Oryzias latipes: one gene and its partners. The protein of the gene in region 2 interacts with the protein of the main gene of each other region in a pairwise test. Links are inferred from orthologs where the notes say so. Each region holds a gene or a part of one and is shown on either strand. Other genes may lie near its edges. The genes, in order: kctd4, efhc1 and tex11.

What was found.
Region 1: the proteins of efhc1 (region 2) and kctd4 interact in binary tests that used the Homo sapiens proteins (3 or more experiments, as listed by UniProt). The two-hybrid records come from large-scale screens. The link is inferred for Oryzias latipes from reciprocal best matches to the Homo sapiens genes EFHC1 and KCTD4.
Region 3: the proteins of efhc1 (region 2) and tex11 interact in binary tests that used the Homo sapiens proteins (3 or more experiments, as listed by UniProt). The two-hybrid records come from large-scale screens. The link is inferred for Oryzias latipes from reciprocal best matches to the Homo sapiens genes EFHC1 and TEX11.

The regions. Positions count from the first base shown.
Region 1 is NC_019879.2:17,068,076-17,078,946, forward strand, and holds kctd4 (BTB/POZ domain-containing protein KCTD4), read right to left. Parts: upstream 6,083-10,871; 5' UTR 5,814-6,082; coding exon 5,037-5,813; 3' UTR 4,251-5,036; downstream 1-4,250.
Region 2 is NC_019882.2:6,987,550-6,998,420, forward strand, and holds efhc1 (EF-hand domain-containing protein 1), read right to left. Parts: upstream 6,601-10,871; 5' UTR 6,435-6,600; coding exon 6,369-6,434; intron 6,020-6,368; exon of another isoform or gene 5,750-6,019; intron 5,428-5,749; coding exon 5,176-5,427; intron 5,094-5,175; coding exon 4,809-5,093; intron 4,700-4,808; coding exon 4,550-4,699; intron 4,276-4,549; coding exon 4,095-4,275; intron 3,982-4,094; coding exon 3,758-3,981; intron 3,669-3,757; coding exon 3,579-3,668; intron 3,468-3,578; coding exon 3,267-3,467; coding exon of another isoform or gene 3,260-3,266; intron 3,194-3,259; coding exon 3,037-3,193; intron 2,814-3,036; coding exon 2,773-2,813; 3' UTR 2,711-2,772; downstream 1-2,710. Other genes in the region: translocating chain-associated membrane protein 2, read left to right, coding at 392-476, 637-707, 894-998, 1,102-1,245, 1,665-1,822, 1,943-2,019; protein eva-1 homolog C, read right to left, coding at 8,382-8,761, 9,944-10,102. UniProt on the Homo sapiens protein: Microtubule inner protein (MIP) part of the dynein-decorated doublet microtubules (DMTs) in cilia axoneme, which is required for motile cilia beating.
Region 3 is NC_019868.2:11,384,184-11,395,054, reverse strand, and holds the start of tex11 (testis-expressed protein 11), read left to right. Parts: upstream 1-4,804; 5' UTR 4,805-4,922; coding exon 4,923-4,965; intron 4,966-6,126; coding exon 6,127-6,239; intron 6,240-6,564; coding exon 6,565-6,649; intron 6,650-6,777; coding exon 6,778-6,857; intron 6,858-6,940; coding exon 6,941-7,021; intron 7,022-7,126; coding exon 7,127-7,246; intron 7,247-7,462; coding exon 7,463-7,543; intron 7,544-7,632; coding exon 7,633-7,718; intron 7,719-7,811; coding exon 7,812-7,869; intron 7,870-7,978; coding exon 7,979-8,074; intron 8,075-8,154; coding exon 8,155-8,236; intron 8,237-8,430; coding exon 8,431-8,509; intron 8,510-8,646; coding exon 8,647-8,798; intron 8,799-8,893; coding exon 8,894-8,979; intron 8,980-9,066; coding exon 9,067-9,204; intron 9,205-10,861; coding exon 10,862-10,871. UniProt on the Homo sapiens protein: Regulator of crossing-over during meiosis. Involved in initiation and/or maintenance of chromosome synapsis and formation of crossovers.

The DNA of each region.
Region 1 (10,871 bases), on a different chromosome or scaffold from region 2:
GGTGGAGTGCAGTCTGCGCAGTACTGGCCTTACCCTTTACACCATTGGTTCGTCTGCCATTGCCTAGCAAGCTTGAATGATGACATGGAGGTCCAATGATTATCAATGCAAATATTGACTCACCAACATTGCCTGCGCACCATACTTGGCATCCATTGGTGTGACTTCACCACAATGTTGAAGTCCGTGAGTAAGCAGTAACGGCTCGTATTGAAGCCATGCTCCTACTGACACAGGGCATTTCTCAAGACTACATAACCATGGCATACCAAAGATTATCTTATATGGTGAGCCCTCCCCTGGGCATCATGACAGAGGTGCTCCTAGAAGGAGGCACAAAGACTGCCATAAGATGGCCGTAAGCACTTGTAAAATCAATCACTATTTCGCTGAATGTGGTTGAATCAATCATCAATCATCAATCAGTCAATCTTTATGTGGAAAGCACTTTAACATCTACCAGAGATCCAAACTACTGCACAGGTATATAAAAAAATTACAAGTAGAAATTAGTGAAATACAATAAAACAACAGTAAAATCAACCTTAATAGAAACACTAATAGAGCTGGCCTAATTGTCATCCACTCTGGTGTTAAAAGCCAATGCAAAAAGTCGAGTTTTTAACAAAGATTTAAAATCTTATAGGGATCTGGCAGACCTCACAGAAAAAGGGAGACGATTCCAGAGTCGAGGGACAGCCACTGAAAAGGTTCTGTCACCCTTGTTCACAAGTTGAGTCCTGGGAACCACAGATTGCAAAGCTCTACGAGGGTGAAGATTCTGTAGGAGCTCAGTAAGATAGAGAGGTGCTAAACCAAAATTAATACTTAAAAGTCATGAGTAAAATGTTAAAATCCATTCTAAAAGAAACAGGCTACCAGTGTAGAGATCATAGTATTGGGGTAATGTGATCACGCCGTCTCGTCCCCGTTATTAAACGGGCAGCTAAATTCTGGACCAGCTGAAGACGGCGGAGGAGGGACTGGTCCATCCCAGAATAAAGGGAATTACAGTAGTCCAGTCTAGAGAAGATGAAGGCATGAACAACTCTTTCCAGGGTGTCATGAGGGAGATATTGCTATGTTGTATTGATTAATCTGAGATGACAGCTAGACTACTGCACTAACTTGTCCATCAAAATTAAAACTACAGTCTAAAATAACCCCAAGATTCCTGATAGAAGACAGGTTAGAGTGTTGAAGTGTTTTAGCATCACAAAGACACAAGTCTTTTTATCATTCAGCCTTGAATTAGCTGCAGAGGAAAAGACCTGATCTTTCTAACCCGTTTTACCTTAATCGTTTCCTGTTTCTAGTGAGGCGACAGAGAAATCAGAGGCATGCAAGTCATGTTTTTATCTCAGCAGTCTCCCATGACTGTGGTGTATTGAACACAGAAAGGAGCATCGCCTTTGACAGCATGGAGGACTTGAGCTCGCTTGGCAACAGGTGAAAGGATCGAGATAGAGGGTGGTTGTGTTTTTCCTCCAGCTGATAATGCTTATCTTATCTGCGCTGCTGTGCGTCTCATGCTGCCTCCATTACACTTTCATCACTTTTACTTCAGACCGATCCCTTAAAACATACAGTCAACCTGCCACCATCATAAAAAATGCATGGAACTGATCTGCATTTAAGAGCGGGCTGAATGTTACAGCAAAATGCCAGAGCTTGCGTTGCGCTCCACAGAGGGAACCCCATCCTGAAGGGTCACATTATCTGGACTGTTTGGAGCCTTTTTCATGTTTACAGTGCATTTTGTTCTCCTGCTGTCAGGCTTGAAAGCTGGCTTTTTCAACCTGAGGGAGGGTTGGTTGATTTTGCGACATTGTCTGCCAGAGCAGATGCTTTTGGTCTCAGGCGGGGGAATCACAGTAAGCGGTAAAAAGAGTGACGGTGTTCATTTCAAGCCAGCTGATAGCGGCTCCCTACAGACGAATGCTCTGCAATTAAAAGTTCGTTCAGGCAGCAAAAAAGAAGCCTGAACTTTGATGACAAAAGGATCTCCCTTTGCAGTAAGAAGATGGGGTTAATGCTGTCCAATGTCCAGGATAATTAAATTTAAAGATTTCCACTCCCACAAGCTTCCATAAATGAATCATGACGCATGCCGGCTTCACATTGTTTGGGTTCAAGCCAGGCTGGGCTTGTTTTGCGTTTGGCACAGGCATCATCGATGAGTAAAAGAGCTTCTTATTCATAGTCAGACCTTTACATTATAGCATTCTACTGTTCAAGTGGATCATATTTATCATCTTTGGTCCAACCACCTGAATGCCCCCCTAAAAAATCTTATTTGACATCTCGACTTAAGTCGGGGAACTACATTAGCTTTACAAATATGTAGTTTACTTAAACATTAGGATGACTTCATGTAACCTGACCTTTGTGGATCTTTCTGTTCTGTTGCTTCTTTTATTTTATAATTTGTTTTAAAGGCACTCTAATAATGAGTGATAATGAAAAGGAATAATGGGGGTATTTATAACCATAATTTGTTGTTCTTTTAAAAGTTAAATAACAAACGATCTGATGGGGGGGGGGGGGGGTCTAGCAGTAGTTACGGAGCTTAATCATTTAATGGCTGAAGTTATAATACGTGGCAGCCTGTTTTCTATTTTATGTATGACTGGTCAAGCTGCAATGGACCGAAGGAAATTTCACAGTGGCTTAAAGTGTGGAAGTATTGCATTCAAATAGAACACAAACAAAAAAATCTTTGATCATTTTAGTTTTTAGATTGTAAATCAGTTCAAAATGCAATTTATTTAGCTCAATTTAGTCTATCACTGAAGCCAGATTTTAGAGCAATTAATGCCCGTCTTCTGATGGACACAAACAATGAAAAAGACTGCAGTCAATCTCAAAGCATAGTTTCTAATGATAAAAACAAGCTTTTATTTATTTATTGTTGGTATTTGGGAAAATCTTCATTGTGACACTCTTGTTGAACTCCTGTGAGAGTTCTCTCAACTTGGCTAATTTATCATTTTTGGAGCCTATATTTATCTAAAATACACAATTTATCTAAAAAAAATACCCAGTTTAAAAATGTAAAAGCCTGTAAGCTGCTTCTTTATTATTTTACATGAAGGGATGAAATACTAACAGTTCTGTTTTGGATTCAATAGAACAAAAAAATTAAAGTGTCTTGATTTCCAGGATCATTCTGGTGATTATTGTAGCAATGTGTGTGGCTTCTTGGCAAAGGGGGAAATAGAAATAGTTCTCCTATGTAATCTCACTACTTTCAGTTGGCATTTAAAAGGCTTTTATTGATGTTCAGTTTCTTTTCTTTTTTTTTAACCAAAGCACACTCACCGAACACATTAGTATCTGGTTTATAGCTGATGTAACTGTGCCCACACAGTGTTTGAACCCGTCTTTTAGCTTGAACATGTAAATGTGGTCATTTCAAACATCTTGACAGCACTTACAGGATCCTCACTTTCAAAAGAATGGAACAATGACCATGTTCATATGACGCCACTACTCTGATGCTTTTGTAAAGACACTGCAGTGAAAACATTCTCTCTGATTATCCTAAGATCATATTTAGGATAAGAGGTGTAAGATTTACTGATAAGTACATTTTAGTACTTAAATCCATATTTTTGTTAGAAGTGTCATCTTTTATGGTGATTTCTCGTTTAATGACTTTTAGTAAGTGTTTGCAGAGTTAAAAATATTGCACATTTTTTAAAGAGATATTAATTTTATTTATGCAAATATATTTTTAATGCTATTTCTGCATCCCTATATATCAGTGCTACAGTGTGAGAGCTTTAGGAACTTTCAGCAGAGGAAGAAAGCCTTTTGAAAGCAGGACATTTCTGCTTTTGCAGATCAAAGTGCTGTCCTCAGGACAGAATGACATCAACAGATGCTCTAATAACACAACACAAACATAATTTCATCAAGTTTAGGGTCTCTTCAATCTTTACTTTATACTTCTGATAAAACATTAACTAAAAGTCAAACTATTTTAGATGGAAAATGAGTCATGTTTGTCATGTGTAGTGTATTTTAGGCTTCATATTCTGTGAAAACAAAGTTTACCATGTGAGGTATTGTAATATTGCTCATGTCCATTTCACAGGAGGTAGATTATTATAATTGGAGTAAACAATTACAGATTATAATTTTCTACATTCCCTGAATAATTAGTTTTGCAATAAATGACCTCCGCATGCAAACAAATTAATACTTGTTTTATATAATAAACCCAGGATTTCAAAGAAACTACAAACTGCTTGTTTAAATCCATTTTATTTGTAAAATATTCACATTTAAAGAAATAGGCATTTTTGTGGTACTGGCTTCACAGAGGCTCACGGCACTTACAAAACACACTTTTTAAAAAGGATTTCTGTGCACATGCATCATGCAAGATTCTAAGCCCTTGCAATAATCACAGCTCTTTGCTCCTAAACTTTAACAGTTAATTAAACGTTTGTGTGTTGGCCTAAGCCTGCCTTCAGTGAGCTCTGCTTTTCAAATCGAACTAAAAAACTCAAGCTAATAAAACAGAAACACTCACACACACCGTGTACGGCGAGGCACACACACGCGCACACACACAGGCTGTAGTAAAAGCTGAATGGCACAACAGTGCACATCACAGGCTTTTTATGAAGGGGCTGTTTTTTCCGTTTTTGCAGCCACTGACAAAAGCACACATGTATTGATGGAACTTGAAGTGCAGTATTTTCCGCGTGAAGATTGGTTTGTGGCTTGTCGTCCATGTCACCGGGGCTTTTGTGCTATCAGGATCTTTCTGGATTCTACAATACAATAATACAGAGCAGTGCAAATTCGGCAAATGCCAAAACATGGTTCTGCTAAAAACAACCGCCCAAAGCTTCATTAGTAAAGTCTGTCCTAAACAGTCCAGCTCACCTTTTATTTTATCTACTAATTCACATAATACACATTTTACAAGACTCAAACCAATACCTGACATTAGTGGAGTGAATATGAAATATGGCAGTACTTTCCCTTCTGCCTTCTCTCTGATTCCTGCATTTCTCTTCATCTTACTTGACAAAGTGCAGGGCCTCCGCTGCCACCACAGAGCCTTTACTGCTGTCGAGGCTGGTGACCAACTTGAACCCCGATTTAAGTGCTAGCATCACTGTTTCTAGTTTCAGACAGTCTAGAGTGCACACGAACGTGCTGTCCTCCTTCAGCACGAGCCGTGAGCCCGGCTCAGACTTGATGAAGTGGCGAAACTGGATCACATTTGATGACACCACAAATTCTTCTGGGAAGCCGTCCAAGCGGCTCTTGGAGATCTGCACCAGCCGTCCCTTAACCTTCTCAATGAAGGTGGCGTCGCTGCAGTACACCTTGAGGCCCTGCGACCTCTCGTGGCTGTCTGTCACCTCCAAAAACGCGGGTTCTCGCTGGGCTGCTCGTTGATTTTCCCACTCGACCACGGCCTCCACCAGCTGGCTCAGGCGGTAGAAGTCGGCCTCTCTGCGCAGCAGCCCTGCCTCACGGAAGTCATCAGGCAGCTGGAGCTCACCGGTCCGGAGGTAGTTGAGCACGTGGCGAAAAACAGGACCATCTCTGTCAATGAAGGGATTGCCCATAGAATCTGTGTGTTGAACCGGCTTTTTACCATTGGCCACCTCCTCCAGAAAGGACCCGAGGTGCTTGGAAAGGGTGGTCCGATGGGCGGTGTAAAGAAACCCCCCTACATTGAGGGTGATGGTGCCGGAAGAGGGCTTCTTGAAGCTTTTGCTGGGCTGCAGCAGGTCCGGATTGATGTGCCTCAGTTCACTCTCCATCCTTCTGAGGTTCCATTCCATTCTCCAGTCAGCCCCTCCAGCTTCAGTCCAGCCTCCTCCTCAGAGCTGGTGTCTGTGCGTGGGGTTTGTTTTCACCTTGTCGTTTGGACGTTTGATGCAGCTGAGAAATTGAGAGGGTGTTGTCGGCTGAGAGAGCAAATGTGTTTGAGAGAGTGTGATGTGGATGGCTGAGTGTTGTCTGGCAGAGCAGCTACAGTGAAGTAGGAGCTGCAAGCTGGCTCTGTGTGCCGATCCGTGTCCCTCCTCTCCACTCTCCCTCTCTCTGTGTCTCTCTTTAAGAGTGGGTGTGCAGACAGCGTCACATTTCAGGGAGGAGGAAAAGGGAGTATGTGAGCAAACAACAGAATAGTGAGGACTCTTTTTCTCTCAGTCCTTAATTATCTTTGGCAAAAAAAAAAAGGTGTCAAACCCGCACCTAAACCATCCTCTCACCAGATGGAAGTTAGGGGGTGGTTGGGCTTTTATAATCTTTGCACAGGAAAATAGTCAGACTTGTGAGCATGAATTCAAAACTCTATTTGCACACACACGTCTGATTTACCTCCCATCATTACTTCTGACTGTCTGAGAAGAGTGATGGTTTGTTGAGGCGAGGTTTGTCTTTTTCGCTTGTTGTTAATCTGATGGAGCCCTGCTAATGCAAATTAAATGATTAAATTCATGTAAATATCCTGTTGGGGTTTCTCTGAAGATAGCCAGCAGTGGTCTCTGCCCTGGTGAGTGGACACATTGATTGATTGCAATAATTTAAGGTTGAGGAAAAAAGAATCAACTGCAGTCGATTACAGTTTGGCCATTAGGGGCAGATTTTCTTTCTTTTGGCAATGTTTTGAAAAGGTGTCCCGCTGTTTGGGAACTGCAAAAGACTGGCCATTTACACACACACAAAAAAAAATGAAAGGACACAGCATTCACGCTGTGAGTGTGCTTCACACGGCTGTCTCTCCTAGTGCAAAGAAATCATCACACTTCATGTTAAACATGAGGAAACATGAGGGCCCAGCATTTATGTGTATTTACATGTATGTGCTGGTCTGATGACTCAATCAGCTGTAACGTAGTGTTTTAACCTTTCTACCTTCCTGTCAATGTTTGTACTATGGGTGGAATGATTCACTTTAACAAAGATTTGATTAACATAATAATTTGTGGTTGCTGATACATTTCATCGTGGATTTTGGTTCATTTTGAACGATTTGATCACTGACTTAAAATTCATCCTGGACATCTTTAGCCAAAGATAATAAAAAGTAAATTAGATTTGTGTACAAACAAACAAGTTAACAAGAATCTCTGTTTAACATTTTAGCTTCATTAAGTTCAACCCACTGTTATTTTTCCAGATCCAAATAATCCAAAGGGGACGTTGTTAGAACATTTTACCACATTGTACAAGTCTCTGCTAAAGTCAAAGTGTCTCCATACATTGCACTGTAATGATGGCTTGATCATTTTCTGCTGCCATCACGTGTGAAGCACTTGGTCGTTTTTACGCTCTAGTAAATATACTGTACCTCAATCCAAATGGTATTTCCTAATATTGATATAAGCAATTTATTTCATTTTGAAAATGTTTTATAATGGTATAGGTCAAGTCAATTAACAACTTGGCTCAGACAGATTGATCTGGTTGGTTCGTAGGAATGTATTGATTCATTAATTGTTACGCCCTCAGTTTTTACCTGTTATCACGTGAGTCTTGTTGGCCAGATTTCCTTTTTTCTATTTGGTTTTATCATTTGGAAAATGATCGAAAATAGCTTTGATAAACCATTTAGAGATTGTGAGCCACAGGAGAAAAGATGTTAAAAAAAAGTTTTTTATTTTCCAACATAACTATTACCAACTTATGAATGGCCCCAAAATAAAATGGGGTCAACTTAACCAAATGTCACTAAGGAAATCACAAACAAATTCCTCAAACAAACTAAAACTGACTCATCCAGCAGGATACACTAAGGGGGTTTTAAACTGGCTCATCGGACCTACAAGGTGGGAATCTACAAATAACAAACATAACTTAAACACATTAACCAAAGAGACAAATCACTACTAATTTTGACATTGAACCGAAAGAAAGCTAAACTCAGCTTTAAGAAACAATTTTAAGTGATCAAAAGAAAAAATAATCTCTTGTTTCTCCGCACCTTCTTCTTATGAAACATGTGGTTAAATGTTAGTTTAGCTGCACTTAGAAAGGTAAATAAAGAAGAATGTGCATGAAATTCCATATACAGCTGGTCTGATTTGGTTTTGACCCCAAAAGCAGAAGTATTTCAGTGCAGTTGCTTTGTAACCTACTTTAGTTGGGGTTTCACTCAAGGGACACATCGCCTATCAGTTTGCATAATTTATCATCAATTGTGCACAAATCAGACAATGAATACCTGCCGCATTTGTCAGTGCAGGCTACCAGATGCTGTGCGAGTCCGCTTTGTCAGGATGCTCATGTCCTCGGTTCCTGTACTTTGCCTGAGGGCAGGCTGAACACTCAGGAGTATCCGGCTGCTGCAGGAATGAAGAAGAAAACTAATGACTGCTGTTGATCCATTTGCAGATGCAGCTTTTAAATAGAAGCTAGATAGAAAGACCTTTGTAAATCCACAGCTAATTAGGTTCAAAAACTATTTGGAATGAGACATTTTGTCTCTTAAATAATGACAATGACTTTTTTTTAAAAGTAATAGTAAATAATCTTAGCAGCATTATTGCCAAAAATGGATACCATAAATTAAAGACGTGCTCCAATGAAAATAATGTTTTTTTTAACATGTTCTTATGGCGTTTTTCTGATGATGGACATGTATAAAGAACATTAAGCTTGAAATCCCATTTCTGAGTATTATTAAAATCGTTTTGAATCAGGAGCAGAAGGAAAAAATACAATTTGAAAAAGCTTGTAGCAGTGACCTAGAAGTTACAGTCGGCGGGCCACAAGCTCCCTGCTCTGCTCCATTCTGATGCATCCAGAGCTGACATTTATTGTAGCTCCAAACGTTACGGCTGGATACCTCCAATATTACTCGCCATTTTTGTTTTATTTTAATGCTTTAATGTCAGGTTGGGGTTGTAAGGGGCTGTAAGCTAGTGGGAGAGAATGTAAACAAAGGGATGATGGGAAATGGGGGCAGGCTTACTCTGGACCAAGTCCTACACACAATTTAAAGGCGAATTTCTAATGAACTCCTGCCACTATGCAGAAACGTCCTAGAAAACGACAAGTCTTTTTTTTTTGTGGCTAAAAATGGTACAATCATTATTTGACAATAGACCAAAATACAGTTGAAGTGGGACTTTAAACAATAAGGGTTGGCCACAAAGCTGTTAATTGGCATAAAGTAGGAAAGTTGAATATACTTTTTAACTTTTTGTTTGTTTTGATACTAAATGAAAGATGATTCTTCTCATCTGAAAGTTGAGGCTACACACTCCTGCTTTTTTGTTTTAGGTGGCATTGTGCATGAAAATAAATCGATGAGAATTTATGTTAAACTCCAAAGTGAGTAACAGGTGGTTTAGACTGATGCAACAGGTGATCAGCCACTTACCCTCACAACTGTTGCAGATTCACCCCGAAGGCGGTGACTGCACAGTCATTTAAAATGAAGCACTTAGATACAATGTGCAGCTGCTGTGTACATTGATGCAGGTGACTCACACTCTGCCTTTCTTTGTATCTGTGTGTCTGTGTGTGTGTTGGTCATGGAGAAGATACAAGAGGGACATCTCTGTGTTCTGCTGTGATTTAAAAAGAAATAGAAAAAAATCATAGGTAATTAGCTGAATTGTTCTTACCGACGCTCAATTGGAATTGCAAACGAGGGCGAGAGGCAGCAGAGAGGATTGTGGGAGGATTTGACCTGTTTTCTGCCTCCTGTTCATTAAAACCGTCTCATTGAAGGAAACCATTGAAAGTCTGTTAGAATCTGTTGAATCTCTTTATCGAAGTGACAGATTTTGGGCATTTCAGCGTTTCTGAAAATGCTGTTAGGGAGGACTCGCCCTCGCTGTTAAAGGCAGTGAATAATTCATGGTGCTGCTCTTAGAGCTGCGCTTTTACATGGAGTCACTGACTGCTATGAAGCTGGCATGGCAACAACTTAAAATAGGGTCTTCTAAGAGCTCAGAGCTGTCAATCTGTGCCTTCATTTACCATGAGAGTCAGTGTGTGGAGGTTTAGCATCTGTGAAACTAGAGTTAATGCTCAAAAGAAAAAGAGAATGTCACCATTTTATTAGCATTTAAAACATTTTAATAAACTATAGTAATAAAATATTCACTCTGTAATGTATATTAGATATCGTTCATTTCATATATTGTTTAAAAAATACATTTTAAGGACAGTGTGGCATTCAATGCCTCACCCCAGGAGGTTTCAACATGTCGACCACTGGAGCCAGAAACTGACAGACTGCGGTTTTCCCTCCAGAACTAAAGCTGCCCTAACAAGAAACAACATCTGTCCTGTTGCTGTGCAATAAACCACTGAGAAATTCTTGCATCCTGGCACACAGACACTGCAGTATCTCTCCTATAAAGTGGCAACTTTCTCCTGCAGGACAGCAGCAAAATGGAAAACATCTTAGGAAAAATCACAAACATGGCAGAGTCTGAGGTGTTTGTCCAGCCACCAGAAACCAATATGTTGAGATCTAAAAAACCCTATCTATGGATCCTAAAGAATTTAGTGCTGGAATAAAGTACCTGACGCCCCAGGATATGAGGCACGTTTTTATTGAAAATTACAATAAAAATACATGTTCTGTTATTAACTGTAAATGTACGAATAAAAAGACTAGATTTCTCACAGGCCCCCCCGCCTGTAAGAAATTAAACTGCCCACCTGCTGGTAGGACATGAAAGCCGCCTCCCGTTGCATCTGGATGCAGTTTATCCACATTAGATCAAAACGAGCGGGTGGATGAGTCGCAAAGGTCGGAATATAACGAATGGAATCATTACATTTCCTTAATGAAGCAGCCTCTGGGCCCGAACGACGTCAGCTTTAATGGAAATTTATATTTGGAGATCCAATCTTGGCCTTCCTTCAGCCCCATA
Region 2 (10,871 bases):
AGGAGGAGGATGCTGAAACTTTTTCAAAAAACAGAAAATTGAGTTGCCAAAGAAAGTTTCCCCTTATCGATATGAACAATTTTTTATTGACGTCACAGCTGCACTTCATTGTTAAAGCGTATACATCGTTTGCATGCATAATGTCACCCTACAGAAGACTGTTTTTTCATTTAAATCATTCAACTTTTTTTTATGTTTCCGTTACTTTTTACCTACATTTGTTTGTAAAAAAAAGAAAAAAGTCATTTAAAGATCAAACGCTCTTATGTTTCAGGATGTGTGGTAGCGATTTTGAATTAATCAGATAATATATTAAATTAGTGGGAGAAAAAGCTGATAATGTCACCTGCATTGCCTTTTTTTTAATCTTCTTGTGCTTTTTGTTCCCCAGGTTTCAGGTGAAGTTTTTCTACCTCACTCAGCTGGCCTACTGGCTCCATGCCTTGCCAGAGCTCTACTTCCAGAAAGTGCGCAAGGTCAGTAGAAAGGCCATGGGAACTGGAGGCGCTCTGGAGCGTGACTTGATAAGCTCTGTTTATTGTTCAGCCTTTTGGTGGGGATTGTATAAGTTCTGTATTTGCAATACACAATGCAAAAAAAAATTTGAATTTGTATTTTTTTTTGCTTTGTTTTAAGGAGGAGATTCCTCGCCAGCTCCAGTACATCTGTCTGTATCTCCTGCACATATCTGCAGCCTATTTGTTAAAGTAAGTGTAGAAAAGGACTTTGATGTTGATAAGTGGTTTAAAAATCAATACATTTGAAGGGATTCTTCTGAATCCACAAAAAATGTTGTCAGTGTTCAGATTTCATCGCTTTACATCATTTTATCATCATTTTAGTAGTAAAGTTGTTATTTTCATTGATTGCCGTGTTTTTCTCTTCATGTATAGCTTGACTCGTGTGGGTCTGGTACTCCTGTTCCTCCAGTATTTATCAGAGCTGGGCTTCCACATCGCCAGACTCCTCTACTTTACTGATGAGAACCACCAGAAAATGTAAGTTGCTTGCATGCCTTTACTGAATTTTAGTGGCTTTTTGTCGAGTCTGTCTCCCACTTTGAGGCCTTGCTTTGATGGAATGGCGTGTCGTTCTGGGCAGGTTTGACCTGTGGGCAGTTAGCTTTGTGTTCACACGGATGACCACGCTGACCCTGATGTTCCTCTCTGTGGGATTTGGTTTGGCTCGAGCTGAGAATCAGGGGCTGGACTTGGAGATGGGCAACTTCAACACTGTGCTGATAAGGTAAAGCCCAATCTGGTGGTTCAGCAGCCAAAAGCATAAGAGTCCAATGTCTGTGGATAAGGATTCATTTTAAACCCAGTCTCTGTAGCTCTCAGACTTATGCATAGTATTTTTTTTTTTAAGTAAACATACAGGAATGACTTTGGACTCCATTTTTGCAGTTAAAGATAGCTGTCACAGTAAATGCTCCTCAATGCAATAAAACTGGACTTGACACTTCACATCTATAATTTCTCAGAACTCAAAGTATGTATTTTTTATTGGTCTTCTTACAGCCAGCAGTCAGAGTAGCATAAACAGTTTAACAGGTTAGACTGTTCTTCTAACACCAGACATCGAAAGCAATTTCATTCGTTTGGGGCATGATGTCAGGCCTACTTTCCAATTCTCACTGTGACACTTATGGTGTCCCCCCTCAGAATGATTGTCCTGCTGCTGGTGTGTTTGACTCAATCCTGGCTGCTGTGGAAGTTTATCCGCTTCCAGCTAAGGCGTTGGAGGGAACTCCGACACGAGCAGGCTGTTCGCAAGAAGGCTGCCACAAAACAACCCCTGCGGCCCCTAAAGAGAGACTCGCGTAAGTTCGGACACCCATATTTAGCAAGGAGCTGACATTATTTGGTCATTTGTTTTCCTCACTCTGCTTCTTGCTTTGTTAAAAATGCATTTTGACTTTTCCTTTTTGTCTCTTGGTTAGTTGGTAACCATGAAAACGGAGTTCTTAAAGCGGAGAATGGAGTCTCTCCCCGGACAAAGAAACTCAAATCTCTTTAAGATCCTCTGACTGGCGTGAAAAGCTGCCTTAGTGGTGGCTAAGGTTCTCGATCAGCACCCGAGGGAAGCTGATGGCTGCTGGTCGTCGAGCTTCTGGCTGAAAATGTCCTGCGATGTTCCAAGGACTATGTCGCAGATGTTGGAAAATGAAATCCAAGGAAAATCCTTTGATCCCAACAGACATTTATCCTTCTCATTGTATCAGTATTTTGTATTTGTAAAACATACTTGCAGCTTGCAATCCCATCATAAAGCAGACAGTTGTATGCAGTGATAAAATAGTTAAATAAGCGTGTTCATCCTCAAACTGAAGTACTGTAGCGTTGCAGCTCGGACTGTTGAGCCTTTGTGTTCTGTTTTTTAGTCCACAGGAGCAGAAAAGTGTTACTGATTTTTTTATTTTAATTTTTTAATTTTTGGTATGATATGAACTATCTGGTAAAACTGTACATGTGTCACTTATCACTTTCCATTAAGTATGTTGGATAACACTGCATGCCATTCCATTTCTGATTTTTGTTTTTGTTCCGATTTGTTTATTAATTACTTTATTAAATAATGCAATTGTTCAAACATGATTTCAAATTGTATTTGAACCAGCTGAGGTCTTTTTCTTTGCTCTTGTTCTTTGGTCAGTAATGCAATTTCTGGAAAAAGTTATTTCTAAATATAAGGAATAGATATATCAGTGTTTAGATGCAATTCGTTTATTAGAGACATTTTGCAAAATTCCTAGCACATCTGGTCTTTGGATCAGAAAACTTGAGAAACATGAGATGATTTTACTTCTTCACCTGAAGGAAGAGGAATGAAAAAGAGAGTGAAAAATCTCCTTTTACAAATAAACTGAAATAAATTGACTGCTGGTCAAAATCTATGGAAGCAATTCTTTCTCATAATTAAAAATAAAAGTCAATACCAGAAATTCTTTTTCAAAAATGAAATGGTATTGGCTTTTATGAGACAGAAATGCTTCCATAAAAAGCTGTTACTGACAGTTAAAATGCTGGGGCTGACCATTATTAGATTGAGTGCTTAACTTCTGTCGCAGAGAATCCAGTGTTTGAGATGGGACCTGGTCTGAGATGGACTCCAGGTATTTGAGCACATAGAGGTCAGCATCTGTCAGGATGAAGCGGTGACTAAAAACTACAGACAAAAAGAAAAGAAATGACTACTTTTACTTTGACATTGGATGAAATGATACGACACTGAATATGTTCCATAAGGAGATGAATACCCTCTACCGTGGCTCCAATAGCAAAGTCTGCAGGTGAGTATAAGTCTGGGTTTTCCTGGCTTGAACCTGGCTTGGGAACATGTCTGTTCCTCAGTAAGAACCCAGAGTCAAAACTGGACGTGCCCTTTTCAAAGATGCTGATTGTTTGATTGAAGAGAGAGTACATTAAGATGAAAGAACGATCTTTGTCTTCTGGATATGGAGACACCTAAAAAATAAACAACGTAATGAATATTTGACTTCAACAGAAATGGTACATTAGATGTATTGTAACAACAATTTAGTAGTTAACAGTAACAAATTCGTATATTTTTCTTACCAGCTTGGCTTTGTAGCGTAATACTTTGTTGAGATTCTCGAGGTTCTTTTCCACTTTGGGAGGATTCTTCTGTGGAGCAGCCATTTTTAACTGGAGTTTGTGAATAAAGTAATAGTAAAATCGTAAATCCTATAAAAATGTACATAATTAATGCAGTTGGTACATATTTGAAACCTTACCTTCTCTTTTTGAGGTGTGTCCACCTTTTCTGGCACCTCCAAGGGTTTCATTTCCATGTCTGGGTGGTTCTCCTTGTAATACTTTTTGGTGAAGTCGTCACAGTCGCACAGCAAGAAGGAACGGGCGAGTAGTGTAACCGTTTGGCCTAGCTGAAAGTCTTTGGGGGAGTAGTACTCATCTACATCTAGGTGAGAGATCTCCATCACACAGGTGGGGAACGTTTCTGCAACAAGAACACAACTACAGAAGTCCTGTCCAAGTGACGGGTTCCATTTATAATCAGTTTGAGCATTTCTGTGAGGCGATTGAAATATAATGGTGGAAAAACGTCTTTACCTGATTTCATTTTTTTGGGTATTTTCACTCTGCGCATCACAACAGGGAAATGGTTCTGTCTTCTGCCTTTGTAGACCACCTCTCTGATCTCCACAGTATCGTCAACGAGGAAATAGTGGATGGTAACCGGCAAAGTGTACTGACGGTTCACATCCTCCCCCAGAGCAGAGAAACTGAGCACCTAAAATAGACAACAAGACGAGAACAGGACTGGTGGTTAATAGTTTTTATTTCTAACTTTAAACTGAGAGTGTATGTGGAGAGTATACATTTTTAAAAATCTGTTTTTTTCTACTAGAAAATGTAAGAATATGAAAACAAAAATACTAATTATATGGAACAGTGTTTCTCCTTTCTTACTGGGTAAAAGTACATTTTTAAGTTATTTATAGTTATTCTAAGTGTCATTGTTATTGCAATGCAACATCTGAGCAGATAATATGGATATTCTCTACCTTTCCATCCATGGTGAGAAACTGGTGCAGCTTGTCAGTTGTGGAAGGCTGAGTGTGAGGCTGTGGTGAGCCTTTGCGTTTTTTGATATAAGGATCTTCCGGTGTTGGCTCTGGTTCGTTCAAAATGATCCCTTCACTTTCCATAAACTCCTGTGTGAATGAGAGAAGAAAAGCAAGCAGGAAAAGAAACAGAAATCTACAAATGAAAATGGCTGGACACACAAAAGGAGAAGAAGTCTTAATCAGAAGAGTAGTGTACCTTTGTAAAGTCATCACACTGTGTGATGTGGTATGTGAAGCCATACACCTTCAGATCCATACCAATGTTGAGGTCTTTCCACAGGTAATACTCTCCGTGGTCATTCTTTGGTATTTTCTGCCGTTTGAGCCTCTTTCCGTGTTCGAACCCGGAGTTTTCCTCTTTGGGCTCCACAATGGTCATAGTGTCGTCCTCCAGGTGATAATAGATGACCACTGGACACACACGGTATTCTTCAGAGGAATTCAAGAATTCCTCTTTAAAGAATGCCTTGAAGCACAGCACCTTAAAAAAAAGCAGGCCGGTGATAGACCATGTGGGGAATTATTTGGAAATAATTAATGCTTTTATCAATTTGAGTTCACACCTTCTTGTCCAGAGCCACATAAACTGGCTTAAAAGGCTCATAGACTTTCCGGTCAGAAGCGCCATACGGATCTTCTCCTGGCATCCCAAAGGAAAGATCACTGAGATGCTGGGCTGTTGTGCTGAGCTGTTCGGACAAATGAAGTTCCTGGCCGATCCCCATGGAGAGGCGCTGAGCCAGAGGATAGCCATTCTTGTAGTCCAGAGTCTGGGGTCGATGAAAGGCGGATTTCTGCGACCGCAAATCATGAAACAACAAGTTGAAGAGAAATAAATGCAAGCTCTGAATAAAAATAAAAACAGAAAACTATTGAAAATATTAGGTTTCTAGGGATTTTTTTATACTTACAAAATATTGTTTTGTTTTATAAACTGCTGACATTATTTCTGTTAAATTGAAAAGCTTCTTTTTTCCTCTATTTAAACATTTGTGTACATAAAATAACAATTGGCAGAAATAACTAGAATGTGCAGAGTTTTCATACCTTAATTAGAAAGAAATAGGCTTATTTAACTTTAAAAACACAACAAAAATAATTAAACAAATGTTCACAAAAACATTGGATGAATTTAACCTTTGATAATCCAAGCTTTAATGCATCTCGGCTTCTCCACCAGTTTTCCAATCTGCTTCAAACACTGCTCCTAATAGCCGCCTTTGAGTAATTCTCCTCGCTCCAGCAACCATTTCCATTATTTTTATAGCTCTCTTGATGCCTCCCTGCTGTTGCTGAGTGACATTTGAATAAGTAGTCGGCCATCCAGGTCTTTGGGGAGTTGTTTTTGCCCTCTGCCAGTCTCTTGTTTTTCCTCAATGTCTGCTGCTTGACCTTGTCACTTTGAGGAAGGGTCTTAGAAATGCTGAAGGATGGAATCTGAACAGTACTGAACCCTTGACATTCTTGCCTCATATCCTTTCTTATAAATACATATACTTTTCCTTGTTAAGTTTAATTTGATTCAAGTAATTAATTCAAGTAACCCAATAATTTATTGAGAAGGATAAAAAAAAAACAATTGAAAACATGACGGTTAGTAAAATAGAGATACTTCTTTCCCAACATAAGCAAATCTGCAAATCACATTTTTAGTGATCTATTGATACTTTTCAAGAAAAAAAAAAAACTATTTTAAATGAGAATTTTTTTTTTTGGAAATTTATATCCTTTTTAAATCCACCATGACGGCTCTTACTGTGTAATCCGGGAATGAATATCCGGGCAGGAATGGCAAACCATAGTTATTCCACGGAGAAGACATTTCTGGTCGGGATTTCTTCGTAACTCTCTAGTCAGGAAAGAAAAAGTTCACAATCGTCGTTTTTAACGACGCAAATAAACAGTTTGTTGGGGCGTTAAACTACAGGGAAGGACGCGCGACTGAAGCTTTGACGGTATCTATGGTAACGACGTCTAGTGTTAGCACTTGTGACGTAGCAGCAGTTTGTTTTAAATAAAGTTTGACAAAAAAAACGTAACTTTGCAAGCATCTTTTGGAAAGCAATTAATACATCTCATCTTTACAGATTGTATATCTTTCTTTTGTGTAATATGTAAATTACATATTCATAAATGTTTATTTTTTATCTGGAAATACGGTAAAAAAAAAAAATTATTTAATTTGTTAAACTACTAACGTCAAGTTCCTAATAGCACCACCAGGGGGCGAGCGAAGCTAAAAAGTCCAGACAGTTTTTGTTTTTTCACATTTACACCTTGGAAATTAAAGACACAAACTCTCTTTTCATTTCTTTCACTGGAACACATTTTCCTTTTGAAGTTTATTTCAAGCGCATAATCCATTTTGGTCATGTGGTAAAAATCACTGACACATTATATTCAAACTAAACCTTTTAGACATCTCTGGTGAGGTGGTTATTTGAATAATCTCTATAAGGAAAATAATATTAATGTGTTAAAATATCTGCTTGAAATTGGAAAAGAATGTACACATCTCTCCAGCAAATAGCATGATTTTGGTGCCGTTTTACCGTTTTTGTAGTGTTGTTTCCTTCAGATGGCAGTGACAAACACAAGCAACGTCCTGCATATTAAATAAAGGCCACTTTTAGACATTGCTTGAAAAGTGATGACCTGAAAATGCATTTTTATAGTAAAAACAGGCAGTTCTCTATTAATTTACATTTATGCCAGAGTAGATAGCAGGTGCTAAACTCGACAGAAGCATTCTGGTTTTGACACAAGCTCCACATCAGCATAGAGACAGTACTTTAAAGGGAACACAAATAGATTACATACATTTGAGATTCCAATTAATAAATAAATGTCCTATAGTTGATCAAAAAAGACTGTTGTAATCATAAACTCGACTTAAAGGGTAGAAAAGCCTCTCCGCTTTGAATTACTTTATCAAAAATAGGATTAAACTATAAAAAGGGAACCTCTTTGAGGTGCTTTACATTATATCTCCTATTCTTGTCTATAAATGCTGACAATGTGATTTCAGTCAACTCCCCCTTTTTCTAAGGAAGAGCCAAACACAGAAACACTAGGATTGCATCCCTGAGGCGCCAGACAACCTTTGCAAAGTATAAAAATATCTCATAATAAAACCTTACTTGAGAAGAAAAATACACAACATCAATGAAACATTAAATATAATAAAATATATTGCATAAGGTGTTCATCTTTTGGTTTTTATAGAGCTCAAGGCAACATCTACTGTGAAAAGATTGTCTTACACTGTCTTATTGTCGAGCGCACTTTGGTAAAAAAAAATGCCCCTCTGTTAAAGTTCACATTTCAATACTGGAGGGTAGTGAGCGTGAAGCTCAGAGTGTCACAGTCTCTTCCAGCTGCCCTGTGTGCTGTAAAACAGACCTTTGTGAGGCCTTGGTCCTTCAGTCACCGTGTAGTCTCTGCAGGCTTGTGTATGTTCATTAACCCATAAATCCTCAGTTCAAAAGCCCGCCGAGGTCACCGGTAAGTCAGTGTAGTCTTTCACTTCTTTCTTCCGGGAGCCAAGAGGCAAGCTTACAATGCAGAGTTGAAGCTTATTGTTTGACTTTTGGGGGTATAGCTTATGATACCCAAATGGACTTTGAAAACAGCAGAGAGAGGGGAACATTTTTCCAACTAAAAACTGTCAAACTGTTGCTTTTGAATCTCAGTCTGGGTTTGTCTCTTTCCCCTTCTGTACAACATTTCAGTTAAAGTCAGGTTCCCATTAAAAGTCTCCAGGTATTACTCAGTAATACCGATTGAGGCTCCGTGTCCCCGGGATGTCCGGTTGGCCGTTCATCCAGATTTCCCGGATGATTCGCTCTCTTTCCTCCAGCCGCTGAGCTCTCTCCAGCTCTTCGGCTGACGTGAACACGTTCATGTTTAGCGTGCGCTCAAAGCGTCTGTGTCTCCTTGCCGAGAGGTCCGAGGTGGTGTCCCAGTCTGAGTCCGAATCACTGGAATCTGAGGATAAGTCGGCGGGACGCGCACGTTTCTTGGCAGGAGGCCGCTCACGCGGCTGGCAGTCGGTGCGACAGGAGATCTGGACCACCAGGGCGAAGAGAGTGAGGAAGAGGCCCAAACACACGCCACAGACGAAGAACAAGGCAGCCCTCTCTGGGTGGTCTAGTGCAGGGGAGAGTGGAAGGACACAAATGATGGAGGGAAAAGTTTTATTTATTAGATTTTTTCATGAAAGACAAAAAAGAAAGAAAGATGTTGCATCTTCAATTTTTTTTAAACCTATTTGACCATCTATATTTAATTATTTGGCTCGCTTTGCTGGTTTGGTATTTCTGCAGCATAGCCTTCATTTTGTATTGATTGCTTAATTTCCTATAAGTGCACATTTTTCCCCTTTACATCCACTCTTCCAGATTCTCTCCGCTCCAGCAGCCTTGCTTGCCTTGAGCAAGATTCCAACATTATCCCAGTGGTTTGGCTCTTACTGGCTGTTTACATTTAACTCAGCGGCAGCATCTTCTATATTCGCAATCTCAGTCAACCATGCTGGAAAACCGGCTCAGTCAATTCTTTCATTCAAACCCTTCAATAATAACAAACTTGATCAAAACTTGCCAAAAGTTTTCAACAAAAACTTGCAAACTTGTATTTCAGAGTACTTCTTTTTTCAAATTGTGGAGCAGATGAAAAAAAAAATGCAGTTTAAAAAAGATTGTGTAGACAATATGGTGGGCAGGCCACTCCGTTCTGACAACGTTCTCCTTGTCCAAGTTGGTCTCTGGCTCAAAACTGTTCGGCTGGATTGCTCCTATATTGTTTCAATATTTTTGTTGCCCCGCAAATGTTAGGCTGGGGGCGTGAGGGGCTGTAAGCCACCGGGAGAGTGTGTCAACAAATTGCTCAGTTATGGGTGATGGGAATGGAGGGTGGGCTTGATCTGCCCCAACAGTCACGGTGAATTTCAAATGAATCCCTGCAGAAACTGTGTCCTAAAAAACAACACAGTTTAAAAAAAAAAAAAAGTAAAATATAAATAACCACTTCAACTTATAGATTGTTCAAAAACTGTGCATAAGGTAGTATTTTATGTGTGAAAGATAATTTCTTCCAGCAGCTGCTTGGAGCTCTATGGTCTACTCAGCCGCTATCTCTTTTAAATCCACATTCCTCTAGCCCACATTTGGCCACCTTTCAGTCCTGGCAAATTAAAATAGGGGAAATGAGGGATTTTATCTATACCAAAAAATTGGTGTGCACATGTTTCAGGCATTGGGACGTATTCCATTGTCCTTGAACCGCTGGATTTAAAGCAATAAGCATTTTTGATGTTACAAGACGTCCTACCTGATATGTAATTGTAGGCTGCAAGTGCGTTGCTGAAGAGCGCCATGTTGGCTCCAGAGGTGGAGTTGGCGATGGGGTTCATTTCTGGTGACTGCTCTGGATCCTCTCCTTCTTTTTCTTGCGGCTTCCCCTTTTCTGTCTCTTCAAATTTGTTTTTCTCTGTTAAGAATGGTTGCAAGGTCAGAAAAGTGCGGTTTAATGACACAAAACAAACTACAGTCTGTCCGGAAAGCTTCAGGTTTAAAAAGGCAGAAAGAGGCTGTGAGGTGGAAAACAAAAAACAAAAACAAAAAAACGATTGAGGTAATTTACAGGAAAACAAGATTGCACTATAATGTCTGTCAGAAACCTGAGTCATCTTAGTTCTGTTGAATACTGAAAAAAATGTATGACCTAAAAAGCAACTCATCATCCGTTGTCTGACTCAGGTCATTAAGGGACAAAGAGTCCCATGGGAAAAAAAATCTTCTAGGATTTTGGCTGCTATACCTTTAATTTTTGGTAAATGAAGGCAGGCAAGCTTTGGTGAGCTACCACACACACACAAGTGACCTCTAATTACACAGTCTCTAAGGTGTGTCAGCCTCCTCTAATCTGATAAATGTAGTTTAGACAAGAATTGCTCACTGAGCAGGTAAACGTTTCCACCTGGGAAAGCTGCTGTGTGGAGTCGATCAGCTGATTTTCATCCTTAATCTCTTTAATGCATAAAAATAGCCCTAATACAGTACATCTGTAAAGAAACAGCTACTAAGTTTTACAAACAATTTAACTTAAAAAGAATTACAATAAATTATTATTTTTTTAATTTTAATCTAAACAGAGAAAATCAGAATAGAATAAAAGCTTTGTTATAAAGAGAACCTTATATTTACCTTATATATATTATATTTACAGCAGAACAGACAAAGTCATTCAGAAACCTTAA
Region 3 (10,871 bases), on a different chromosome or scaffold from region 2:
ATCATGATTTAAGGATCCAGAGATTTTCAATAAACTTAAAGGACTTTGGCAGATTACAGAACAAATTGATAAAAGTTTGCTTGAAAAATGTAATTTCTCATATTTGGAGGGCTTGAGAGTGCACCAAAGTTTCTGAAATCTGCATGGTTGGTTATGAAAGAAAAAAAGATGTATCACACATTTAGTAGTTTTAGATTTAACAATACTGTTGAGGTTCAGTGACTCAAGTCTTCCCTCTCACTTATAGTTTCTGGAGTTAACAACTGTAACTTAATGCATTATCATAAACTGTAAAGATAAAAACACACACACACACACAAAAAAAACCAATGGCACAATGAACTGAGTTTGGTCAGAAAAGGTGATCATGCTCACTCCAAAAGTTTTAGCATGTGTTTATAATTAGGGCTTGAGCAAAGGAGACATTCCCATCAGGTCGTGAGGGCAGCAGATAAGTCTCCTGATGGACAATTGCTGGAAGCTGCTTGCTGAGCGGGTGGATCTGAAGTGATTTATTTTAAAGGCTGATGGTCAAAACACACTTTGGAGCACTAACTGGTCCTACATACACAGCAAGCATTCTTCCTTTTGGCCTGAATGAACCCAAACTTCTTATTTTAAAAAAGGGCATTGAGTTAAATGAGTGTCACAGTTTTCTTTTTAAATCAAAACCTTGTAGTAAATCAAAATAATAAAACTGAAATAATGCCATAATTGTAGTACAGCCCCAAATTGTAATCTAAAGAAATTCTTACCTGATAAATAAAAAATTGCGATTTTCAAGATGGGTGTGAAAGGATGTAAATTATAAAAACTGGGGTTGTAGGAAAAATCGATCTGTCAATATGTTGCGACATTTCATTTGATGATACTTTTATTGATTTAAAATCATGCCAAGATAATATTTATTTAATTTTTTATGAGCATCATTCAACGTCTAACTTTTTTCTCCACTCAAACCCCCGACCTCTAGTTGGCAGCATAGCACACTGATCCTCTCAGAGTAGCTCTACACCGCACCGAAACAACAAGATCTCGCGAGAATCAGCTTGTGTTAACCCTTGTGCTATCCTCTGACCCCACCCTTACATTGACGTGTTCTCCTTAACATGACAAAGGTGGATAAAGGTGGAGAGGATTTCATGTAATCCATGGACACCAGTGAAGATCACAAATCGTTGAAGAAAAAAGGTTCAGTGCACTGTCCAGTGGGTCTAGATGACCCAACTCCCAATGTTAAAGTGCCTAGGATAGCTCAAGGGTTACATGTTAAATGTTCAGTCAGCCTTGCAGTCTCTGTTGTTATGAGACATGTACTACTTAATTTTTGCTTGGGATGGGTTCCGAACCGGAACTAACATGTGCCATGTTGCTGCCGGTATCATGTAAAAACATGGTTTGTGGTGATTTGTGGTGGGCTCTAGATGAAAACGAGTGACACTTGATATGTATCGCGATACATATCGTATTGTGAGACACGTATCGTGATATGCATCGTATCGCCATACTCTTCCCAATACACACCCCTACTAAAAAGCATGCATGCAAAAATATTAACATTAGTAAGTATTTCACATTTGCATGAAACACATTCTAAATATAAGATGTATAATATTAGAGGGTCTAAAAAAATGGTTGAACACTATATGCCTTTTATATTGATCACCATTAAAAACCATGAATATTCTTTTAAACTTCTGATAATTTTATGAAACCCTGTCACAATGGTGTAAAAATATTGATGGTTGTGTTTTGAGTCCTGACATGACAATATATGCCTTAAATTTAATTTACTTTTTATTTATTTATCCCACAATGGGGAAATTGAATTGGAAATAAAGTCCCACTCCGAACATCTTTTGATCTATTGTAAAAGCGTTCCCAGGGGTCTTTCAAGTATGATTATGCTGTTTTTAGCCAAAACAAAAAAACTGTTGTTTTCAAAAACATAGTTTCAGTAAAACGGCAGCTCATCAGAAATTTGCCTCTGATTTGTGGGCGGGACTGTTGGCACAGAGCAAGGCCCCCACTTCCTATCGCCCATCTGTTTACGTACCCTCCCGCTAGCATATAGCTCACACCCCCAACCTAACATTACCAGTGCAACAAAAATGGCACGGAATATTGGAGCTATCCAGCCGTACAGTTTTGATTCAGATACCAGCTCACACGCGGAAAAAAAAGACATTAATTTAAATTTTATTTATTCAGCATATTAACCACAGGGCACGCCCATTTATGTTCAAAGTTAGCATATTTATATAGTAAAACATACAATAAAACACATTCAAGTTCTTGTTACTTAAGAAGACAAAAAATGTATATTAGACACAAGAAAAGTCCACCAACATCACATATTTCATTGTATTTAAATTAAGGGATCTTTTTGTCTGCAAATAGATGCATCAGAATGGAGTGGAGCAGGGAGCTTGTTGCCCTCTGATTGTAACTAAGTGACAACTATGAGCTTTTTACAATTACACTTTTTTCGTTTGCTCCTGATTCACAATGATTAAAACAAAGAAATACTCAGAAATGCAGTTTTAAGTTTATTTTCTTTATGTATGTCTTACATCTTGAAAGAAATGCCACAAGAACATGTTAAAAACACCAAAAACAGGTATTTCATCAAAGTGAGTCTTTAAGGTTCTGCTTTTTTGTTTCCTTGTGGATTATTTCATGCTTTATGTTCAATGCTATGTTCTGTTTTTAACTAATTTCACAAAAATCCAGTTTTGTGTTTTAAAAACCCATGTCGGTTCACTTTTTCAGCTTCTATTTCATCACAAAGACGTCCTCCAGTTCTGCCAGGGGAACCCCAAGGTGCTCCCAGGCCAGCCGAGAGACACAGTCTTCAACTCGGTGGGACACGCTCTGAATACCTAGAGAGGCGCCCAGGAGGCAAATGAGTTAACTGAGCCATCTCAACTAGTTTCTCTCAGTGTGGAAGGGAAGTGACTCTACCCCAAGCTCCACACAAGTGACCAAACTCCTCACTTTATCTCCAAAGGAACATCAAGTAAGAAAACTATTTTTAGCTGCTAGTTTTCGAGACGTTTTGCCTTTCGGTCCTGACCTCTGTGTCACATCAGTTTTCAATAACATTCCTTTTCAGTTTTAGTTAATTGAACCTCAGTGTGTTTAAGACCATATTTCTATTTTCTTCCTGCAAGACTTTTTTGTCCTTTTTAAGGCATTAAAAGGTGGATCAGCCAGTGTGCTTCAGATTAAAGTCAAACAGATGGAGAACATTTCTCTTCAGGATTTGTTGGTAGACACTGGAAGCTGTGGTTCCACAGCAAGTCTTCCTGGTTCACCACTGTAACATGTTTGTTTTCTCACGTGCTGTGTTACTTTTACACCAAATGTTGTAGACAAATGTATTTTTTAGAAAAGATTGACTTTAATCTAATCAGTCCTTAGATTATTTACTCAAAGATAGCAGGGTCTTTTGACATCTCTTGAATAAGTTACTGCACTCTTGTGGTAATTTGTTCAACAGGCCACTCTGGAGATGGATCACAACTGTTCTTGTGTTTTCCTTGTTTGAGGAGATTTGCTCTCAATAAAGTGTCAAAGCTTCAGAAATGGCTTAATCATCAATGTTTTTGAGCAAGTGGTCCCAAAGACTGTTTTAATTTTTTCCTGAGTATCTCTGGATTGCAACACAACGGCAAACGTTTGAACCTTCAGTTCATGCTGGTCTTAAACATTATTTTCTTGATTATTTTTTTTGTGTATGGGTGTGTTTGTGTATGAGTTTTTGTCTTTGAGTGGAAAGAAAAAACTATCAAAATAAAAGCCCTTCCATGTTATTTCTTACATTGTATTTATTTTGTTATTTATTTACATTAAACGCTAATTTAAGAATACTTATATATAAAAAATTAATCATCTAGCCAGAATATAAGAAAGCAAATATTACCTACACTATGATGGCTACTTTTTTCTACCTTGTATATCTTACCTGATATTTGCTTTCTTGTAACATAGATTTTATTTATCAATTGAACTAGCACATAACATCAAAAAAGAAAAATAGTAATAATAACATATCCTTTTTTAAACCCTTTTAACATATAGCCTAGTAGTCAATAGGCCTAAATCAGGAGTCTGAATCTGAGGCTCCAAATCCAAATGTGGCTCTTTGTCCCTACATTATGGCTTTTTGGCTTTGAAAAAATTCTAATAATTTGCGTAAATAATGGTTTTGTCGTAGTCAGGATTATTTTGAGTTAATTACGTTTTGTCATTTATTTTTAGATTTTTAAAATGTCAGGTAACTGAGCATCATGACAGTAAAAGGTTTAATCTATTGTGTGTGGTTAAAGAGAAGAAACGCCTAGGAAGTGCATGGAGGAACATTTGTAGAAGTTTATATTTACATTATATAGATTTGTTTTGCCTGGTTTAATATTTGAGAGTAAAAGGAAAAAAAATGAAGGCCCACCAAAATCATAATAATAGAAAATGTTATATTGGATTTATCTTTCTATCTTTTTAAATTTAAGTAAATCTCCTGTAGCAAAGGATCCTATTTGACACAGGGTGTGTTTTATTTTGAAAGGATCTTGTCAAAAGTAAATAAAGTTACAATTAATAAATGCAGAAAAACATAACACTGTTATAGTTAAATTACTGTAAATATTTGAAAACTACATAAATAAATTCTATTTTCTAATTGATAAAGTGAGCTTTTGCGGCTCTAAATGGATTTTGGTCCGCATTTACAGTCAATGGTCACAGAAACTTGCCCAAAAGGCTCTTTTAATGTTAAAGTTTGTCCGCAGACAGGAAGTAGCATTAACTGACCTCACATAGTACGAACTCCGTGGCGTCAACGTCCGCCTCGTTTTCGCGGGCATTTTCGGGCGATTGTAAATTCTCCTTTGGTGAGACATCTCCTCCAGACAATCCCGCTTATGGAAGCTTTCGAAATGGAAGAATTTATTTCGACTGTGAAATGTGAGTATAAGTCGGTTCAACTACATTACACGGCTAATTACAGATACAAACCATAAATAATTGTAACTGCGTCATCAGCAGGGGTAGGGGGTAATCAATGAGTTATATCGCGATATAACTGGGGCTAACCTAGCTAAACCATCTGCTAGGCCATGTACTATTTTGTCAAGCTAGTTTAATGAAATGAATTAAGCACATAAATCCTACCTTAGCTTTAGCCTTTGTCCGAGTGAAAAAAATGTTTGCTTTATTTTTTAAACAAATTAATTATATTTTTTCTTTCTTTAAAACTACCTTAAAAAAACATGCAGACTGCCATAAATAATATTATATAAATGTTGGGTTTATTCAGAGAAAAATCTATACAGAAATCATGAGAGCAATTTTAAAGTTAACGAAGAGAATCTTGAAGCTGTTTTTATGACAGACAGACATGCTTGGTTTTATTTTTGTTGTGGAACAATGGCTGGCAAGACTTTTAGGGTATAAATAAAGTTTATTATTTTGAATTGGTTAACAAAATTATCATTTTACTCTTTAAAACGGGAGCATTATGCCTCAGGGGGCTGGAGGGTCTGTTTCTGTTACCCACACATTTATGCATATATATGTGTGTGTATATAATATATATATATATATATATATATATATATTATTTTTTTTTGCTCAATCCTGGATAAATACGATAAAGAACATTTGGCAGAAATCAATATTTTGGAAATTGTTAAGAAAAAAGGGCAAGTAATTTTTTTCACTGTCCAGCTTGATTTGAAAAAAACAAAAATAGAACAAACTAAAAACAAATGTCTCTAGTTATTAAAAAAAGTGTGATTTGAGGCTTTGCAGCAACAAAAATAACTTAGAAGTGTACATAACAGTTACCATTATGCTTTGACTGTGAACTTCACTCACAGAATTCTTTTTAACACCCACTTTTAAAAGTGTGGAGGGTGTAATTTGCATCAGCTTCATATACAACAACTTGCCGCCTCACAGATCTTAAAAGCATAAGAGAACAAGCATATGCCAGAACCCTTTTCTGCTATGGCAAACTAGAAGTTACTGTCAAGGGGAGCAGTTATTGGATGTGTCACATATATTTATTGAACATCTTTTACTCTTAGTGTGTCTATTCATTTCAAACGTTCTGCTTTTTCACAGGTCTCACAGAAAACTTACAGCAGAAAGATCTAACAGATTGCGATGAGGTTATAGAGAAGCTTTTCTCTGAAGTCTCAGGCTTAGATTCCTTTCTCAAAATACCAGATCCTCAGGTAATTTATCAATCGTTTTAGATTGTACTATTTTTAATATAGTCTATAGTCCTGGACAGATATGTACAGAAGAGGATTAGGGCCATGGAGAAAGAAAAAAAAAAAGGGCATAGAAAATTCTGACTTTAATCTCAGAATTCTGACTTTATATGTTCATGTGGAGCTAAACATTTTTTCCCCCTATCCCAACATATCTTGAACCTGCAACTTCGAAATTATTTTATAGCTTAACTACTTTTTAGTAGTTTTAGTAGTAAAACTGAATGCTTAAGTCTAATAATATAAGTTATTGGCATGTTTTTAGTGTCTTGTTTTACTGGTACAGATTCAGGAGTGTGCCGTCCAGTTGTGGAACTGGGCTGTTACCAAGAATGTGGGAAACGCCATAACTGCAATCCAAAAAGCTAAAGGTATTCTTCCAATTGCAGTCTGTATAGTTTTTAAATGTTTACCTTTCTTGATTTTCTAAAACACAAACCTAATTATGGGGATTACAGGCAAGGTTAATGCCTCATTTAATATTTTTTATCATCATCAGTTCGCCATGTTGCATGCAACCTGCTGTACTGCTTTGAGTCTGACAGTCCAACAGAGGGCGCCTTTCGAAAACAAATCTTGGTAAGTAATTCTGGAGGTTTTCCTTTTTATAGCCTGGCATTTCAGGAGGATAAGGCCTGTGTGTTGATATCTTATCCTTCCAGATGGCCAGCAAAGCAGGGAGAGCCTGGCTGAACTGCAAAAACTTTCAGATGGCAGATCACTTTCTGAGACTTGCCGTCAAGGTGAGAAAGAAACGTTGGATAAAATCTGGAAATGTTTTTAGCTGAAAGGAGAAGGATGGAATTATTTTATTCTTTTACAAATGATCCAACATGGTATATTCCTAGAGCTTGGAAACCCTTTACCGCCAGCTAACGTCCAGAGCCAATGACGAACCTGACATCTTGTCATCCAAGGCAGATGTGGAGAAGGACCTTCTTCGGATCCTGTCGTGCCAGGCTGAGTCGGTGAGCAGTGCTGCATGTGATGTTCAACACCTTAAATGTGAATATTTGTTCTTGTGATATTTTGCAGCTTGGGAGGTGCTGTTCTGACAGACTTGCAGTGTGAAGTGTAAGACAGTAAAATTGTGACTGAGAAACAATGAAGGGGGGGTTCTGAAATAGCTAATTGAGAGAAGTTCATTTCCCTTCATTTAATACACAATCTGATCTTTGTTACAGGCTATCGCTCAAGGGAACAACCAAGAAGCCATAGTGTTCATCGAGCGATGCAAAGACATACTGCTGCGGCTGCCAAATGAAGTAAAACACAGCTACCTTACTGTTCTCTTACATTCAAAGCACATGTTGTTGAAAGTGAGGGGGGTGTTAAGTGTGAGCTTTCATCACAGACGGCGTACCTCTCAGTTGTCTGTTACAACTTTGGAATCGAGGCATACAATCTGACAAAGTTTGAAGACAGTGCATTTTGGCTGAGGTAGTAGATTTATTAATGTGGTTTGATAAAAAGTAATAAAATAAAAAAATCCAGGGTAAAAATGCATCTCTTCCTCCTTGTTTGTTTTTGTAGCCAAAGCTATGACATTGGAAAAGCAAACATGAAATATGGTCCAGGATCAGAAGCTCTGGTAAGACCCCGTAAGACAGAATGAATAGAGTTAGCAGCAGGAATGCTAATCTTTGAGAACAAGTCATTAAAAAGAAAAAGAAAATATTTACAATGTCACTCATAAACAGGCCAAAGTTTTGCGGCTGCTCGCCACGTGTTATTTAGAGTGGGACTGTGAGAAGTTTCAGGAAAAGGCTCTAAATACTGTCAGCTTAGCAAACAAGGTGGGACGTGAGGCAATATTACGTCAAATATTTATTGTAAAAGGATGAAGAGTGATTATTCCTATGGTGGTGTTTGGCAGGAGTGTGTGACCCCGTTTGGACTTTACTTAAAGATCAGAATTCTCCTCAGATGCAGAGCCCCAGACAGCCCTGTCAGAGCAGGTCAGTCATAATCTGACTGCCGTCAGTGATGTGCTACAAAAATAAACACAAATAGAAATAGAATAGAAAGAAATAATGAGTCTGATATTGGTGGTCACAAAGCTTGTACCACTTAGATTGGATGCTTCCTAGTGTGTCATTTGAATCTTTGAGTGACAGACAGATAAGGTTGCATCACAAACCTGTGTTTTCAGGTCTTAATGAGATGCTGGAATCTAAAGTTTCTCTTGACATGTGTCTGAACACAGTGAGACTGCTCATGTCTGAAAACAGGTGAGGAAGTTAAAAACAAAACAGAAAACTGATTGCAGATTTAACTTTATTTGCTTGTTTGAAATAATAATGCATCCTAAACGGATGAGGACATTTATTCTGCACCTCTGAAAATGCATCTTTTGTGATTATTCTAGAGAAGTGCTGGCATTTGAGTATTTGAAAACTGTGTGTCAGCACTTCGAGTCATCTCCTAGTCTGGGAACTGCTCTTGTCTTGCACATTGAGCTGCTGCTGCAAAGAGGCAAGGTGCTGCTGAGCAGACAGAAGATAGAGGATGTCATTACCGGTACTTCACTTCTACCCTTAACGTTTCTTACAGCTTTTTTTAGAGTAGTAATCCATGAAATGTTTGTTTTTTTGATGATTTTCCTTTCTGATCAGGACACTATACCGGTAAACAGCTGGCACCAGAGGCACTCACAAGTCTGCACATCATACTGTGGGATCAGGCATCCAAACACTACGAGGTTCATCAGTAGCCTGGTTTTCCCTCTATCATTTTGACTGTTACTGACTTTAGAAGTCAATTTATTTAATCTTTTTGATTTTTACAGGATGACAATTATTCTGAAGCTCTCCAGTGGTATGACTACTCTCTTAGCTTCTTTAAGGCGGGTCAGATGGACCAGAACTTATCCAAACTGCAGAGGAACAGAGCATCTTGCTTTCTAAAACTGAAGCAGTTGGAAAAGGTGAGACTGTCTGGACAGAAGGAAAAATCTGTGATCAAACCTCTCTCCCGAAGACTCCAGTAGGTGTTGCTTGTCCAAATTCAAATGAACCTTTTCCCTCCATAGCTATTAGTGCAGGTGGCACCGTGGTGCAGTGGTTAGCGCTTTCGCCTCACAGCAATTAGGCCCTGGTTCAAATTCCAACTAGGACCTTTCTGTGTGGAGCTTGCATGCTTTCCCCATGCATGTATGGATTTTCTCCAGACCCTCCAGCTTCCTCCCTCAGGTTAATTGTGCATCACAACTGTGTGGCCCTGCAACAGAACAACAGGATGTACTCCGTCCTCATCCAACAGTAGCCAGGACAGGCTCCAGCATCACCATGACCTCAAAAGACATGAGGATAGATCGCAGGCCAGCAAAGACAAATAACCCAAAAAATAAATATGTATTTCTAAAAAATCCATCAGCCAATCAAAAACTAAGAAGTACGGGACTTGATTGACATGCAGAACGGCCAATCGGACATCCTACGAAATATACGTCACTGCACATGCGTGTTTAAATTAACTGAGCGCAAATTCTGTCTGCCTCATTACCCGCGGCACGTCAACTCCCCTGCAGAAGACCACTCCGGACAACTGGAGTGTTCATTGAAGCCCGGGCCACCCTGTGTCCTCCTGCTATCGGCTCCTCAGTTCCCGCCCGATAAATACGAGCTCAGTAAGGAAGCAGTGTTTTCCGTGGCACGCGCTTCGTACAGAGCCAGCAGCGCCTTTGCAATGCCATGCTCTCCGCATTACATAGTTTACAACAGAGAATGACGTACGATAGTCGCTGCTTTGTGTTTTTGTAATAAAACGCCTCATCTGTTAATACAAAAATTTTTCTGTGTAATCTTAGTGTGGTGTTTTTTATTATCAGTCCATAAACAACAATGTACAAATAAACATGTAACTAACAAACATGTACTAATAGTATATATAGATATAGATAGATCTTCAAGACATTTTTGACTCAAAAGTGGCTGACATGCCAAAAAAGTGAGCACCCTGCTGTAGATTTTGTGTAACCCTTGTGCTATCTTAGATGACCCCCCCCTTACTTTGACGTGTTCTCCCTACCATGACAAAGGTGGATAAAGGTGGAAAGATTTCATGTAATCCATGGACACCAGTGAAGATCACAAATCATTGAAGAAAAAAGGTTCAGAGCACTGTCTAGTGGGTCTAGATGACCCCACTCCCAATGTTAAAGTGCCTAGGATAGCACAAGGGTTACATTGAAGTCAAAAAAATGGCACACAAACCAAAGTGTAGATAAATTATCCTTTGTTTATTTGAAGCAAAGCACTGGAAGAATGTCATCTATATCCTCCAGTAGTGAACAAAGAAAACAAAAAGTTGTCCATTAGATCAAATCAAATTGAACAGTTTGACTTTCACACAGCTTAAATTATATTTGAGCACAAAATAAAACAGTGCCTAGGATAGCACAAGGGTTAAGCAAATAGTGTCATGCATTTTGTGGATTTGGAGATGGTTAACATTCTGAGCTCTCATTCTATTGAAAGGCATTATAGGACAAATATGGTCTGAAAGTCTGTTGAGCCTGTTGTCCATCTACAATCAGGATCACTTGACTGGTGTCAATGTCTTCATTGAAATTTGCTTTTTAGGCTAAAGAAG